2 linked regions of the Astyanax mexicanus genome follow. The protein of the gene in region 2 interacts with the protein of the main gene of each other region in a pairwise test. Links are inferred from orthologs where the notes say so. Each region holds a gene or a part of one and is shown on either strand. Other genes may lie near its edges. The genes, in order: ldlrap1b and mapk8ip3.

What was found.
Region 1: the proteins of mapk8ip3 (region 2) and ldlrap1b interact in binary tests that used the Homo sapiens proteins (3 or more experiments, as listed by UniProt). The two-hybrid records come from large-scale screens. The link is inferred for Astyanax mexicanus from reciprocal best matches to the Homo sapiens genes MAPK8IP3 and LDLRAP1.

The regions. Positions count from the first base shown.
Region 1 is NC_064414.1:4,339,021-4,348,365, reverse strand, and holds the start of ldlrap1b (low density lipoprotein receptor adapter protein 1b), read right to left. Parts: upstream 3,429-9,345; 5' UTR 3,250-3,428; coding exon 3,165-3,249; intron 1-3,164. UniProt on the Homo sapiens protein: Adapter protein (clathrin-associated sorting protein (CLASP)) required for efficient endocytosis of the LDL receptor (LDLR) in polarized cells such as hepatocytes and lymphocytes, but not in non-polarized cells (fibroblasts).
Region 2 is NC_064426.1:27,609,930-27,618,591, forward strand, and holds the start of mapk8ip3 (C-Jun-amino-terminal kinase-interacting protein 3), read right to left. Parts: upstream 3,388-8,662; 5' UTR 3,259-3,387; exon of another isoform or gene 3,080-3,258; 5' UTR 2,522-3,079; coding exon 2,216-2,521; intron 1-2,215. Other genes in the region: jpt2 (jupiter microtubule associated homolog 2), read right to left, coding at 8,171-8,403.

The sequences.
Region 1 (9,345 bases), on a different chromosome or scaffold from region 2:
GCTGATGGCAAGCTGCATAAATAGGATTCAAATCAGCAATCTCCTGATCACAGTGGCAGCGCTTACCCCACTGGACCACTCAGAGCCCTAAAACCCCATTGTTCATAGGGCTGGATGATAGGGCCAAAATTAATATCTCAATACACATTTTTTTTAATTTTGGTATCTTATATGAAATATTGTCTGAATATAAAAGCCCCAGAAAAACTGCCAAGAACGCACACAATGGTTATCTGCACCCAAAAACGTTACCAGTTCACATTACTTGGCCTGTAATAAACAGACATCAGTGACATGCTGTAAATAATAACTTAAATATCAGAAATGTGTTTCAAAAATCAAACCATTTTTAAAATGAATTGCAATATATGTATTGATCAAAAATTATTGTCTAGGTCTAAGTGTTTCTTAACTGCTAAATGTTGACATCACTGGAGGCAATAGCCAAAATCTACACAATCTAGTCCTACAGTTATAGCGAGGCTGGCACGAGCCTCGGGAACTGGCCTCTCTCCATACATTCCTCCACCTATTCAACTAAATGGAGCTCTGGAACAGACGGCCATCCTGTCAAAAGCCTGCTGTCCTCCGTGAGCCAAACGCAGGCGTGAGTAAACAAAACAGCTGATGGCACCCAAACGTGGCGCGTGCTGCCACAGGCAACCAGAGCGTTCAATACGTGTCTAAGAGTGGCAGTGAGCCTAACCAAGTCAAACAAAAGGGGTCAGTGAGCAGCTAAGCTTCCCTTTGTGAAAACCACATGGCTGCAGTGTGACTAAACCAAGCTGACCAGCTGACTGGCCACGCAGCGCTGTCTGGAGCGCTCACACGCTGAGCTGGAGATCAAAAGCTTCAGCTGAATCCTGTGGGGTAGCAGGAACAGTGTTTTTTAAAAGCCGGCTGCCGCTTCTGTGCTGTACTGAACACATTACTGCATGTTTGATGGTCTCCGACACCATTCTTCATACGGCAGCCAAATATACCATGTATATGCACATATATAATAACGTCTAAGCATGTCTGGATGAAGGTGAATGAGGGCATGTAATCTTGTCCTACGACGAAGGCCAAAAAAGCATTGCCTAGCAACACTGGGTTGCCAAGAAATGCTGTGTGCTTCGGTCACGGACTTGCATAGAGCTGTAATGTCAAGCACAGGCTTGGGTCCTCACTGCATATCTTCCTTCAAGACTCCCCCCGATGTGCACTCCAACATGATCTTTCCATGAAGCCCCTTGAAGATCAGCTTGGGCAGTATTGAGAGTGACATTGTGACACTCAGGGCTAAAATGTAACATACTGAGAAGCTCTAAAACATTCATTTACCAGTCTAATATGAGCTACTGGTCACTGTACATGTATATAATAAGTGAGAGAGGAGAGCCAGAGATGACGATACATGGCTCAACCCAAAAAAAGGACCGCATCACAGTTACACAAAATTCTAACTGAGTTGTTCTTTGTATTGTGTGAAAATTTTACAAAGTATCTGTTAAAATAAACCTACAGTTTTATAACCTAGCTAAGCCAGTGGATAAGCATTAGCTGCATTAGAGCTCAGTTAGCATGTAAGCTATCCTAACATATCCAACTAACCTAGGTTATAAAACTGTTATTATGTTATTATGAGGTTTATTTTAACAAATACTTTCATAGGTGATATTTTTAAAACACTGGCTGTCTTTGGGTCCTTGCTGTTGCTGTTATCTGCTAAAAATATTGTCAAATATTGGTGATATGCTGCAAAAGATGAGCTAATTTTGCATCTTTGAATAAAACCTTCATTAGTGATGATTTTACTACACTTCACACAGTTTACTTATCTTGTGTATAACATGTTAAAGCAGAACTCTAGTGTGAAATAAATTTGGGGTGTAGTGAAACATGATAACAAATATAACCTTTTGTAAAATAGTTCATTTCTGTTTACTCACAGCTTGCCGAAATACAGTGCTTTTAGCTGATGCTCCCAACAGGCTTAAAATACTAGAGGCATAGAGTAACCCTATCACTAGAGTTAAAACACTATTTTCTTCCCTAGCTCTTTGTTTGTGCTCAGCAGTCGACTTACATTGACTTAATTTCAAGATTCTGGCTCCCAGAAAACTACCTGAAGGTACTGTATGTATAAACAATGTTTTAGTAAACTAGTGCTTTGTTTTAAATGTCAGGACCCTCAGAATTCCTCCAATGAAGTGTGGAGCTACTTTAAGTTTGTTAATGAGGTAAAAATTGTGATTTCTTTGAGTAGGCATCACTATGCCCCTATTTCTAACACTGTAGTCTTAAGCCTGTTGGGAACATAGACGAAAAGCTCTGTATTTGAGAATGCTGGGGACGAATGTAAGTGTTCTATTCTACAAAAGTTTATATTTATTATCATGTTTCACTACACCATGAAAGTTCATTTCTCGCTGTAGTCCTGCTTTAACATGTTATCCACAAGAAAAGTAAACTGTAAAATGTAATTACAGTGTAGTAAAATCATCAAGCAATGAAATGCAAAATTATATCGTCCTTAGCAGCATATTAGCACTATTTTACACTAATTTAAGCAAATAAATATAACAGCAAAGGAACCAAACACAGCATTTCAAACCGTTAAAGTATCTTTTTTTTAAATCTCAGTTTTATATCCGTTAGCTAGGTTAGTTAGCTTAAATGCTAACTGAGCACTAATGCAGCTAACTCTAAATAACAAAACTAGCCTTAGTTAGCTAAGCTATTAGCTATCTTTAGTCTAACCTACCTTTCAGCTTCTAAAGAGACATAACTTAAACAGCACAGCTACGTAACTATTAATCCTACTGTAATAAATTAGCCTAGCTAGCTCTGAAACACACGCTCCGCTCAGATAAGTACAAATAAAGCGGTTTATGTTTACTAAACACAACTTTACACTCCTGTGTAAACCGCCTGTCAGTTAGTAAGTTAATTAACTAGCTACGTTAACTGATTAGCTAGTTGACGTAAAGTTTGCATGACGGTAACGTAACTAACGTAGCTTTAAACCGCTGACAGCAAACTTACATAGTAAAACACGGCTACTAACGCTACTATCTCAACAACATTAACACATAAACACGTTATAACAGCACAGCCCGCTGTAAAAACGTAACGTTACATTACAGCGACATGTTTTAAATGTAGCTGGGATAACTCACTTTTGTGTTTTCCCGAGGTCCAGCTCTGCTTGGCCAGGCTGGGGCTCCGGATGATCGCCCTGCCCGCCGATTTTAAAGCGTCCATAGTTGGGTATGAGGAGGGGGACAGAGCCCGCGGACCCCCGGCTTCCTCCTCCGCGCTCTCAAAGCGGTGAACTCGACGGTCCGCGCGAGAGAAAACTTTTTATTTATTTATTTATCACTGTATCTGGCCGCTGGCCGCCCCGCTCCCTCCTCCCCTGCTTTCCGCCCGGAGAGAATCCAGCCTGGACGGATTAGCGCGCTCGCCGGTGGTGGGCAGGGCCAAATATGCAAATGAGACCAATCGCGCCGCGTCGTGACGTGTCGGCGCCGGCGTGTGGGCGGGGCTTCAGCGGAATACATTACCGCCCCACGTTAGAGCTGATATAAAACACAAAGACCCAAATGATCAGTAGGTAAAACATTAATATTTACAGACTTAAAACGTGCCCACAGTTTAATAAACGTCCAAACTGAAGAAAGGGATTGTTAAATTGAGGAAATACTTGAAATGAATGGAACAGTTTTAGTTTATTAAATTAAAGTAATGATTTATTACAATAAAATTAACAGATCATATAATCAAGGGAATGTTTTAATAATGTAAAAGAACTACAAATGCACATTAATTATATCAACACCATCCAGAAACTGCACCATCTTCTCTGAACCAAAGCTCATTTAAAACAGACTAAAGCAAAGAAAGAACTGTTCTAGGACCAGATTAATCTAAATGTAACATTTTAAATGACTGGATATTGATACTTTTGGACATTTAGTATAGTGTAGCTAGTTTACCATTTGTTGCTCAATGGTTGATTACGCATTTGGCTGTTTTGACACTGGCATGCACACTCCAGCTCTTCTCATTGGTCAGGAATGCTGGAGGACCAGATTCTTTCACCCTCAGATAAAGCCTGAATCAACTCAGGAGATACCGAGGCGTGCCCTGGTGTTCTCGCTGTTCCTCCCCCACAGAAACCTGCACAGGTTTATTGATTGTCTCTAAGGGAGACAAATGCTTATCTAAACAGTCTTTGGTAGGTTGATCAGAAGTGACTTGGAGAACCTGCCACTCACTGTCTGGCCTATCCAAAATCTGCTCCCGCATGAGCTTCTAAAGCTGGAGCTGATTGACATGCAGCCAAGCCTTTTCTCCAAGAAACGCCCGTCCTCTGTTTCCCTTTGTGTTTCCCTGGAAAACTGCTCATGTGGAATGAGAGAAAAAAAGCAGGAATAAATTTCAGATCAGGTTGAGGGGAGGGATGGAATACTTACACTCAAAAACCCGGGTTTCAAGCGTTTGAAATAGATTTAAAATGGTATTGCTTGTAGGTGTTATTAGATCTTACAATAATTCATTTTGATGCTACTATGAATTCATTTTTATCATGAATATACTTCTCTCAATTAATACAATCTTATCTCTCAACATCACAACAAAGCCAGAGGAGAAACCTCTCAGAACATCTTTAAAGCCAAAACTGACTCACTGTGAATCTGTTTGTGGTTTATGGCCTTTAAACCAGAAACAAATTATTTAATTTTCTCTTTTTAAAACTGATAAGTTGCTAGCTTTGCTACCAACCATCCAACACCCATACTATAGTAACACCTTAGCAACCAACAGCTATGCCATAGCACCACTGTAGCAACTACCTAGCAATGCCTGTACAACCAACATCCATACTGTTGTAACGCTGTCACAACCACCTATCAAAGTTATAAACTAGTCATAAACTATATTTTCATTTAAGCCGAAAAACACAATTAAATTGATGTGAAAAATGTAAAACGTTTATCTCTTTGCCTTAGTCTGTTTTAAATGAGTTTTGGTCCAGAGAAGACGGCACAGTTTCTGGATGGTGTTGACATAATGCTTCTTCTTTGAATGATACAGGTTTAACTTGCATTGGCAGATATTTAAATAAATAATACAGGATCAGGACAGTACCCATCCTGAATCACTAGTCCTGTTTTATATGCAATGCCAGCTGAGGACCCAAAGATCACTGGCATTCAATACAGAGTGTTGGCCTTGTCTATTTTCCCTCCAGATTAATTTAATCTTTTGATGATATTATGCACTGTAGACGGTGGGATAGCCAATTTTTTTTGTCATTGTTCCACAGTTGCATTCTCACGGCTTTAACAGAGACAGACAGACAAAGTGACAGACAGACAGACAGACAGACAGACAGATAGATAGATTTTCCTCTGTGGCTGTATTTTTTGATAGGGTGCCCACAAAGACATACAGGATAATTGTGTGCTTAAGCTTGAACTCACAGCTGAGATCTGTATCCTCCTGTGTATTACGTCAAATTTTCACCGGACACTTCCGTTCCACCGCAGAGCTTAAAACCAGACCACAAAACATGCCAAGGGGATTATCAGCGCAGCACGTGGCGGGCACTGTGTCTTCTATTTCTCAGCCCAGCAGGATCTGCCCACACTCTGGGGTCAGCAGCAGCCAGATACACACTGTGTACACAGATCCACGTAATCTCATCTGCAGATAAATCTGAGACGGTGGAAGTGCACAGAGGCCTGACATTCAGTACAGAGAGAAACATAGATCCCATAACACCAGAGTTACACCAGGCTCAAGAGGTTCAGCTTTAAATGGATGAAAATAAAAAGTGTGCATTAAAGTCACAGTTTGAGCAAAAGTCAGAAATTCTCAGTTCTCAGGAAGGTCATGACCAGGGATATCCCTATCAAATCCAGTGGCTCTAAGTCCGGTACTGAGGAGAGTCCTCAGAAGATAAATTTAAGAGTGTTTTCACACCTGTAGTTGGTTTCTATGGTCTGGATCAGTTGATAAGTTTGTTTACTTGGAGCTTTTTTCCCTCTGTTTGGTTTGGTTTCACACAGGCACAAACATTAACGCACCACACTGTCTCCTCTGATTGGACTGAGCTGTCTGGCGCAGGAGCAAGTTAGGTCCTACCAAAAGAGGTGGTTTCGGTCAGAAATAATCTGAAACTGGTTTAATTTGTTTAAGGGATTCATTTATTTTACTAGTTACAGGAGTGTGCTCCATACTGTTTACACGCACCATGTGTGCTGCGTTCACTGCTCGCAGTTGTGTGACTCTGTTTACTATATGTAATTCTGTGCTGCATGTCCCATTGAAAACACTGTGTTTAAATGCACAGCTCCAATTTTTTCAGCATTGTGTGTTAAAGCAGCTTTCCAATGCACAGACATACGCGCTGGAACACAGAATTTTCTTGCTTTGGGCTGTGGTTTGCAATACCTTTAACACCTGCTATTTTGGATCTGACCAAATTTTATAAAGCTTCATCTGGATTGAAAAAGGTAGGTGTAAAAAACTTTCAGTTATATATATATATTTTTTGCCAAACCATTGCTTTAAATATCTTTATGTTAAGAGTACTATATTTTAAAATAGACCTCTGAAAGCAAGGTATGGCTGTGTGGAATTCTTATGGTTATGGCCAGGAAGCAAACATGAAGTGTAAAATTGGAAGGAGTGCTCAGAATAAAGAGTTATGAATCTCCATAATGAATACTAATGAGGCTCCAACTGCCTAACAAAGAGCAAGGCTGTGTTTCCATTCTGCTCCTTCCATTTCCGTCAGCATGTCCACTACAAACCATGAGCACACAGGTTCCAGACGCAGCAGGCCATGCAGCCTTTAGACTCATAAATCCTTCAGTAATTATTAAACATCTCAGAATCCACCATTCCAAGACTCTTGGAAGGGATGCATAAAGAGAGGCACACACGCTCCTGAATTATTAATACCTCCATATGTTAATCAAAGCTGCTCTGATACTGTGAACACAGGCAGTTATATGACCTCGTGCTGGCAGTGTAGGCCTCACACCAGGGTTAGATGGTTTTGAGGCCCAAACATCTGTCAGTATGTCTGTGGTCCAGCCTCATCCACTGCGATTCTCACAGCAGGTCCAGTCCTGCCCCTCGGCTCATGGTCATTCATATTTAATTGTCTCGGGCTGCTCTCGTTTTAATCCATATAATGCCTTTAAAAGTCGGCCACTGAAGACGGTTCCTCAGCTCAGCTTCAGGATCCTGAGGTTGGTTTCCATTGCCTGCAGGGCACTATAGTGGAAATAGGAGGATCCGAGCAGTTTTGGTGCTTGGACCCCTAACAAAGATAGAGGTTCGAGATAGAGCTGGCTCAGAAACAGATGCTTTTATCAGAGCAGACTCAGGATTTTTCTTATTTTTGCTTAAATGTTTAAATAATATCAATTAAATATTTTAAATGCCAGCTCAACATTAGCTAGCTGTTCCATCTTGATGTCTGTAAGTTTTGGGATTTGGGGGATTTAGTGCCCTCTCTGGTGAGAATGAGTAATTGCACCGAGAATGTGGAAGAATCATTTTAAACTGGGCGGGTGTGATGCTTTCAGAGCGGATAAACCGATTCCAGGTTTTATTCAATCAGAGAAAAAGAGAGAGAGCACGCTCAGTCAACCTTTTACAACAGTCTTTATGTTTTAATGCCAATATTTCCATCTCAATACCAGACTCTTGTTCTTGGTGCCGTTCTTGCAATCTTATCAACATTCTTTCCATCCCAACACCAGTCAAGCCACTTTAACATCAATACTAGCCTTTCCATTTTTTAAGGTCATCTATCCTTCCATTATAATGTCAAGCCTTCCACCTAAACCCCATTCTTTTCATTTCAGTACCATTTCTGTACTAGTTCTTTTCCTTACTAATATTTCTTACACCTCCAATTTTTCCTCCCAATTTACTTACGCCATTTTAACTGAGCTGTATATCCCCCATCTCTGGTGATGCCACAACACAAGGAGGGTGAGGACTAGCACACGCCTCCTCCGACACATGTGAAGTCAGACTCTGCCTCTTTTTGAACTGCTGCTGCTTTAGTATTACCAAGTAGCATCACAGCATACTCGGAGGTAAGCGCTGCAACTCTGTTCTGATACATCAGCTCACAGACGCAGGCTTGTGCTGATCAACATCACCCTTAGAGTGACGGAGGGAAAGAGCACCATCTATTTACCCACCCAGATAGAGCAAGGATCCAATTGTGCTCTCTCAGGGCTCCGGCAGCTGATGGCAAGCTGCATGACCAGGATTTGAACCAACAATCTCTCTATCATAGTCTTTTACCTCAACACCAATTGTGAATCCTTTCAACTCAACTCAGAGTGAGAGTTAGAGGATGAGACTGTCTGAAGAAGGTCTCTTCACAGTCCTGCCTGCCGGGTTTAGTAGGTTAATTGTGTGCATTATTCCAGCTGGTGGACGTAAAGCCTTATTTCTCAGAAGTGCAGCAGCCATTTATTCATGTGTTTCTACAGCCTGCTGTACATAATAAACAGAGCCGAGGATCAGGACTTTCAGCAGATTCTCTTCTCTTATTACTCCTCTCCACCTAAACCCACAGCGCGAGGGCGGGTTCAGCCCCAGGCCTCAGCAGCTTTCTGAGCGTGCTCTGTAGTAATTGTGTTTTACTGAAGAAAGCAAAGCAGAGAGATAAAGCAGGAGTGTGTGTAAGTGTGTGTTGTGTGTATGTGTGTGTGTAAAATGCAGAGAAATAGGGATACTCTTCACATTCTCAAACTAGTCTCTGGATTGAGGTCATCTCGTACGACTCTTCAGTAAATCTGAGTCCCTCAGAGTGGAGCGTATCTCAGTACAGGAGTACGATGTCTGGTTATAAATAGATCTGAATGTGAATACATATACATATATACATATATATATATATATATATATATATATATATATATATATATATATATATACTTATGACCCAGTACAGCTGTGCACACCAGTCTAAACTGTACAATTCCCAACTGCCCATAAGACATGGAAGACATGAAACCTTCTGTTTATTACCAGCAGCAGCAATGAGTTACAGGTTAGAACTAGAGTGTAAATTATTTTAAATAATGACTATATATGTACATACTATAAAACACATTTATTTTTAAGATACACATAAAATGTTAAAAAACAATATTTCCAGATATTTAAGTAAATTATATATTAGAATATTTCAAGAACTAAAACATTTGTCAATTATTGATATGTATCAAAATTAAGAAAACAAAGTACAAGAGTAATTATTATATTTAAAATAGTCTAGATTAGTTATTGATTTTCTTTAAATATAAGATCACCATT
Region 2 (8,662 bases):
ATGAAAAAAATAAATAAAAACATGGAATAAGAAGTGTGTCCAAACCTTTGACTGGTACTGTACATAGTTGTCTGTTTTATACGGTTGTTGTCTGTTTTACACAGTTCAGAACCAGACCTGCTTATTAAGCTCCACTACCTAAAAGAAAGCCACCTAAAACAATTGGGATTGTAAAGTGTCATTTGTTGGGAATGCCTCCAATCTACTAACCCCCTGAATGAGTGAATAAACATTACTATGTATAAATAAAGACAAACAAAAAACATTGTGCAAACAGCATTTATGACTCTTCATTATTACTCTCAGGATGTTGTTGACACTAGACACTTTGCAACAAGAATGATATAGTTATGTATGTAATACAGAATGAATGTGACCTTATATAGCTATCAGTATGTACAAATTTGAATTAGTAAAGTTCATGACATTTTTAAAGAGCTCAAATATAGTTCGAAAAGCACTTCAGCTTTCTGACCTCAACTTCCTCAAAGCCAGAGTGAACGTGACCTATGTGTGTTTGTGGGCATGAGGATGAGCAGATACTGCGGCTACAATGTTCACAATGTGTCACAGCACCTCTGAGAGGGTTGCTAATCTATTGACAATACTTTAAAACTATCCAAAAAATGAAATATCTTGATAACTCTTCAAAACAGATTTTGAATTTCATAAGTCTGTTTGACACTGTCAAAAAGGGGGCAAAGCCAAGTGAATGTAACAATATTTGTCAAATGTGTTAGACGTCCACACCTTCCATAAAAAAAATCAGCATTTTTAAATATTGCAATATATATTAAAGAACAATAAAATATTAAAAATATATCTTTCCAATATCATGCAGCCCTATTCTGTAAATGCAGTGTCTGTTAGAATAAGGGTAAGCAAAATATTTGTTAATTGTGTTTAAAACAGCTCTAAAAGTGTTACTATGGTGACTAGTTAATTTACAACACTTCATTACAGGCAATGTGTGTTTACCAATGTCATACCTTTGGTAATGGTACTTCATAACAGTCCTGAAATAATGCCTAATGTCATAAAGTTGATTATACATCATAATAGGTTAGAATTGTGGGAGAGTTGTGTTATAACACTTCATGACAGCCATAAAAGTGATCACTCATTTGTTTACCACATTTTATAACAAGTCAGATGTTTAGCACTGTAAAACTCATAATTGTTGCTGAAATGATTCCCAATGACAATTAGGATGTCAATGTAAATATGAAAGTGTTGTAACACTCAACAGCCCTAAAATCAACCACACTTCCAACAGACCTTATGTTTACTTCCTTTTAGCCTTGAAATGATTCATAAAGTCATAAATGTACCTTCATAACACTTCATAACAGATTATAGATGGCAAAAAACTGTCTGACACTGTCAAAAAGACAGTCAAAACTGTCAAAAAGACCCTATGTGGCAATACAGCTTACTGTATGTGTGTGAGGGAATGAAGGCTTACAAAAATGTGTCATAACACCTAATAACAACAAGAAAAAATTAAGCACTAATTTGTTAACCACGTTTTATAACAGCTCAGACATTTAGCGGTGTGACATTGATGGGGATAACTAGTTTAAACCTCATAATATTGCTGAAATGATTGCCAGTGTCATAACACTGACTTTATAACACTTCATATAAGATTATAAATGGCATACAATCTGAGATAACAATAGTTGTGATATATTGTGTTATAACACTTCACAACAGCAGTAAAATCAACACTTTCAACAGAAATTGTGTTTACAACTGAAATAACTTAATACTTAATTATATCCTCGATTCCTAGTTCTATAAATTTGACTTCATAATAGAATAAAGGATTATTACATTATATTGCTGAAATGATTGCCAATCTCAGAACATTGACTTTGTAATACTTATAAATGGCATTAAGCTGCCTGACAGTGTCAAAAAGGGAGGGAAATCTGAGAGAAGGTGACCCTATGTGGCAATATTTGTGCTATATTGTGTTATAACACTTCACAGCAGCATTAAAACACTATTAACAGAAGTTATGTTTACAACAACCGAAATATTGTCGGAGATAACTTAATACTTCATTATAGCCCTAAAAATGATTCCTAGTTTAAAACATTTAACTCTATAAAACTGTTATAAAACAGCCTCTGGACGCCGTGCACTATACGTCAATCACGTTTACGTCAACTAACTCTAGCTTTACGTTAATTGACGTTAATTGACTCACCTCCTCGGCCTGCTTGCGTAGCGCCTTCTCGCGCTCGTACTGCGTGATGAGCTGCTCGTTGTCCTCCTTGAGCAGCTCGAGCTCCACCTCGTGCTCCTGGTTCTCAGTGAGCACGGCGTCCAGGTTCTCCAGCACGTTGACCACCAGCGGCATGAGCTCCTTCACCACCTCCTCGTCGTAGCTCCGGATGAGTCGCTCGAACTCGCGGTAGATGCTGTTGGCCAGGCCCGAGACGCGCTCGGACATGACGGACACTGAGCCGTAGTCGTCCTGGTAGACGACCTCGTCCAGCTGGAGCTCCATCATCTCGCCTGGAGGTGCGGTGGTGGAGATTTCCACCGAAAATCACAAAAAGAAAATGCTGGCCAAAGTAATGGAGGCGCTGTGGGAGCTAACTAGCGGTTCTCTGAGTCATCCAAATAAAACAGGGGGGCTTGGTTTCAGGAGCTAGCTGGTTAGCTCACTGTGTAGTTAGCTAGAGATATTTTAAAGGGGTGTCATCAGTTGGACGTGCCCCCACGTGTCTCCAGGGGTGCCCAGCAGCCTCATTCAGACAAGCGGTAGCTGGGTTAGCTAGTTAGTTGGCTGAACGTTAGGTAGATGTGAATGTGATGATGATGGGAGAGGAGCCGAGAGCTAAGCTAGCCTCTCTCCTTTCTCCCCCCCCACTCCCTGCGCCACAGCACGGCCTTAAAATCCCGATCTTTCCCCTTCTTCACACCCAGCTAATCCTCCGTTAGGTCCGTATCGGGTGAGGCTGGACTAGTCACCGGCGCTCCCGTTCCCACTCGGCCGGAATCCATCACATCACCGCCCGCGATGCACCTGCTGCTGAGCCGCCGCAGCCCGGGAGCCCAGCCATTACTGGGCGAAAAAAATCAATGGAGGATAAAAAAAAGAAAATAAATAAATAATATGGTAATAAATAGCTTACATACACTGGATTATGCTGGAGTAGCTGCCCCCATCACCACGACGTGGCGCAATCATTTCTCCTACAACATACTGGCAAATTCAGCTTTTTTGACATTTAAATAACCAACCTAGCTAGGTTAACTACAGACCCCAGCCCGGTGGATGATGTTGCGGCGGGGGGCGGCTGCTGCTGCTGTCCTCCTCCTCCTCTCGGCTGGGTGGGTAGGGAATCTCAGAGATCGCCCAGCCAGGCTACAGTGTGGGTGCGTTTATTTCATTTCCCACCTCTATTCAGACACGCCCCGCCCTCCACAGCTACGATTGGTTAATATATTCAATCTGCTGGGATTGATTGGCCAATGGTGCAAGCTCGCAAGCAGCACCAACAGCGCTAGGATTGGTCAGCAGGTCGTGCTCTATTTGCATAACGCTCGTGAGAATCTTCGCTGAGGTCCTGTTTGAGAATCCCGAGTAACAAGAAGAGGGCGGGGCTTGTCTGAAAACAAGTGCGGAATAAAAACAAATACCGCTGCATGGAGGGGAGGAGTCACCTGACCGTTCGGGGGTTACGTCACGGCGTCTGCAGCGAGCCAGCTCGTGCGGTGGCGTCATCATCACATTGTTCCTCCCACAGCAGGGCAGGCAGAGAATGGCATCCCTTCGGGAGAGGAAAAGGGGGATATTGAGAGAAATATGATCAAAATAGCAGACAGAGAGAGAGAGAGAGAGAGAGAGAGAGAGCATGGAAACCCATCCCAGTAATTTAGAATAGTCATTTTTTACTATTTCATTATTTTGAGATCCTATTTTGTTATTTTGAGATACTGTGTTGTTATATTAAGAGGCTAAGTCATTATTTTGATATACTAAGTCATTATATTTTGATGTACCAACGTAAAGCTCTATACTGACGGGATGAGTTTCTCAGGGGGTCCTGGGGTAATTTTCTCTTTTATGGGGGAGGGGGGAATAAAATCAGGGGGTCCTCTGTGATTTTATTCCCATCCGGAAAAAACTTGTATGCGTTTTTCTAAATCAGGGTTGCCAGGTCCGACAAATGTATCCAGCCCAATGTAGGTCTAAAACCCGCCCTTCAGAAGCTTAAATTAGCCCAAAATATATATCTGTCACACGTTTGAAGCAAATGGCAAAACAACTGAGTGTACAACTTAGTATTTTGTTTATAAGGGATTTAGTATCAGTATTGCTATTTATCATGAATTCATTAATAATATTGTAACATGAGTGTTTTATTAGTTCATTTATACGTTTTATATCCCAGTCAAGAACATTTCATAGTAACAATTAGCAAAAACAAAAAAAAATGACATTTTTAAATTATTTTTGTTCTTGCCCCTCCTGAACTCTCTTCTTTCCTCTTCAATATGGTTTTCATCGCCTGGTTATTTCTGTCTCTCTTTTACACTGTCCTCCCTTATGTTCTCCTGATTCTTCCAATGACATAAGATATAAGGCAACACCAACTTTTTTTTTTTTTTGGCGGCCATGATAATTTTTAAAAGTAGCCCAAAAAAACGCACACCACCACCCCTGACAATTTTCACCTGTGACAAGCCCAGTTTGGTGGAAAAACTGCAAACCAGGCAACTCTGCTCTTACTATTTTGAAAAGTTATTTGAAGAATTTTTTGCTGCAGTTTTATTAAATCCTATTCCTTATTCTGCCAGGCTGTTGTCATGTGGTTGCCATGATGTTGCTTTGCAGTGTGCAACACTAATTAGCATAGCGTTCCCTAAATGGTTTCCGTCTACAAAATGCTAGGCCCAGTGCACTTGTCTGGATATTTTTAAAACCCTTGAAGAACATGGTGAAAGGAGGGTAATAACATGAAATACAACAGAACGACAACAGTCTGTCATTATAAAAATGCATAAATTATTTGGGAAAACAAGGGCATTGTCAATTATATGCTTGATCGGTGCAAATGACCACCATTTCTCAATGTTTAAAAGTAAACATGATTAATTGTTTTAATTAAAATAGACAAAGGTTTTTACAAAATGTTCTATATATTTTTTTTACAGGACTGTATATCGATTACATATATATCTGTGGTATTTCCTGCTTAAGTCTCCTCTCATTTGGTTGAATGAACAATGTTATCATTTCTGTAAAAATCAAATGAGAAAATTACCTAGGCAAAACACATTCAAACGTATCTATTATAAACAGAGGTAAATAAAATTAATAATTGATTGCGAAGTCTCAAACATTATTATTATTTTTTAATCTGTTTACTCCTTGAATGAGTAACCGCAAACACATATGAGCTAAGCAGAAAGAAACAATGCAGTAGGCTGTAGCGTATGAATCATCAAAATAGATGTTTATTACAGACGTTTGTGACATTGCCTCAATACCACACTGGCACTTTGGGCAGGGCAGACAGCAGTATGTGAGAAAAAACACTTTTCACACCAATGTGTTACAAGCTGGGCCTTCCCAATGCTGCTGTGCTTTATAATGACAGGCTAAAGTGAAGGTAGAAAAACAAATCAAATGAAATGTTTTTCATACAATAACCGAAAACTAACTTAGTACACTTTGGCATTCGGTACAAAACAGGACTCCCAGAGCTTCTACTTTTTGTGTGCATTTGGTATTCACAGGGATTTATGTCCTAATATCAGGAGGGCCCATCTTTAGTCCTAGGGGTACAGGGTTTGACAGTTTTTGCTTAAACACATTTGATTTAATTCATTTACAGCAATTCATTACTAAGTTTAGTAGGTGGGTCAAGTTACATGCAGTGCTAGACACTAGCACCTCTAGGACTTATGATGGACACCTCTGCCTGAAAACCATGAGATTTAATGACTGTACAAATACAACATTAATTAAACAAAAAAATAAAAATAAAAGATAGTCAAACAGATTTACACTTGAATTTGTTAAGGAATACTTCAGTATTTAGACTAACCTCTATCTGACAACTGTAGCACACAAACTTTTGTATCATGCATTTTTACCCCACCTAATCACTAGGAATTCACCAATGACTTGCAGTGCTACCGACATCATAATGGTCACATGCCTCCTTCAATAATGTGAAATTAGACACTGATGGCAAAGCAGCATGACCAGAGATTAAAGGTCATGATCCTCAGGCCACAGTCAGCATCTTCCAAGCCACTGACTTAAGCACATTTATAGTTAAAAGACAATGGGCAGATATTTTAGTATTGCCTATTGCTTCCTATTATTAGAATGTTTTGTATTAACAGCATCAAAATCTTTGTAGCTCCAGAATGGTAACTGCCTAATGGTCCATTTACCATGAAACCATAAAACAATGTAAAGAACCAATGGCAGCTTCAGATCACAATCATTGGGGCGAAATAAAAAAAACGTTTTTTGTTTTTAACCTTTTTAAAGCTATGGCAGTTAGATGTCAGTAAGAACACTGTAGTATATTCATATAAAGCACTATATGCATTGTAGAGGGTCACCATACACTTGACAGTACTTCAGTTGTATTGATGACCTCTTTATAATTGTTTGTTTATGTGCTTTGGTTTAGTGTATTCATGGAAAACCTACTATACATGGGAGTGGATTCGTTTCAGTATGTTGACACCTTTGCTTTTGCCTGCATTTCCCTGAACAGTGTGTGTTCTTAAGTACATTGTCTTACATCTAAAAACATTGTCACCAGGTCTCCCATCAGGTCCTCCACCAGGTCCTCGAATCCCTATTCTCCCTGAGAACCCAGTGGCATTACAATCAATCAATCACTTAACAGAAAGGCAGAAAGAGAACAAGTCACAAGATCAATAGGAGCTGCTTCCAGCATGGCTGCAAGTCACGATGAGCGAAAAAGAACGCTCACCAAAGTTTCAGAGGTATGTTAGAACAAACTGCCCCAGACCCAGTCCTGAGAACCTACTGCAGTGCACTTATTACAAGCCCTTTTTTCTGAATGAAATCAGGTGTGCAAAACCCCCATTCACACCTGGCATAAACATGCATCCTGGGTGATCCAATCATAAATGTTATAAATGGCCAGTAATGTAATGTCTCAAGGATTACATTTTTACCGCAATCTGGTCACTCAAAACACATACGGATGTTGTCAGAGACACAGAAGACCACATTATTGTTGTAGTATTAACACCAAAGGGTCGTGATGTGCCCACATTAACCAGGTCACTGACAAACCATAAAGAATAACCGTAATACTGCCATCCGTCCACCCCCCGCAAGGGTTAGCTGAGCATGCTACAATAACAATGAAATGGAAAATGACGATACTTGCGTGCTGAGGACTCAAACCACACTAATAGATGACTTACAGTAACCACCCAGTCTCCTTTAATGAAAAGTATGTAAGAAATCCAATCAAAAGTGCTCAAAAGAGATGCATTTAAAACCCCAGGTTTAAACACCTATGCATTTAATCAACCATTTGCAATCAGATCACTCTGGATGCATGTATGACAACGGCAGTTGGTAACGGGGGTTTAAAAGTGCTAAAAACCAGGCAGACCAGTAGGACCTCCAAGACAGAGGGTCAGGTACCACTGCATTAACACAAGTGAGTTTCCCACAGTGGAAACAGACAGACAGTGGTTCCAGTTGAACGATACACAGACGCCAATCAGTTACGTCGTAATCATAAATCATGAGAGTATGATTGTATTTCTATACATTATCAAAGTCAGAGAGCATCTTCACAATCAGCACACACACTCAGCTGATCCTGACTGGATCAAAATGAACCATTTGACTGAGTCAACCATTGGATTGAGGCAGAAACCGATCACTCAAACCCTCCTATATGAACATACAAAAACAAACAAAAAAAAAAAGCAGAATGAGTGTATAGGAATGGGTTAGAAAGTGCAAGAGTTAAGGAATGAGAGAAAGAAGCCACTGTAAGAAAATATAAAGAAACAAAACAACAAAAAAGAAGACTGGACAAACTAAGAAACGTACGAGCAAAGTAAGAAAGAAGCATAGTTAGCAGTGTTAGTAAGAGAGAACGGAGTGAGTGGGGAAGCGAGAGATAAGTGGCACTGGTCAGTAGAAGACCACGCTGGATTTTCCACCAGGGGGGTTCAGCACTCTGTTGTGCGAGCGAGGAACCGGTGCAAGGCGTGGCTCGTGGTCCTTCTCTGATGGATGTGGTGAAAGCTTAGCATCTGGGGTGGCTGTGGGGGTTGCTGTGGGTGCAGCCGGAGGGTCCTCCTTTACAGGTGTTGGTTGAGGTGTAACAGGCACCTTCACTTCTTCAACTGCTTTCGGCTGAGGGGCTGAACAAGAAAAGGTTGGATGCGTGATACGGTTATAAATTTTAAAATACAACTTTTTACAGAAAGTGCTTTATATGAATATGGAGCTTAAGTCAGAATTAAAGCAGTATTATGTAAGAAGTTATATATTTTTTGCTCTTTGGCTCCCCCTATAGTCCAGATGTGGAATTTGTGCTTTGAGCCTTATAAAAGGTATGAGGCATTAGAGGAATACTGCGCAGTTAAGATTTTACAGTTATGATTATGCAGCTTTGGTTTT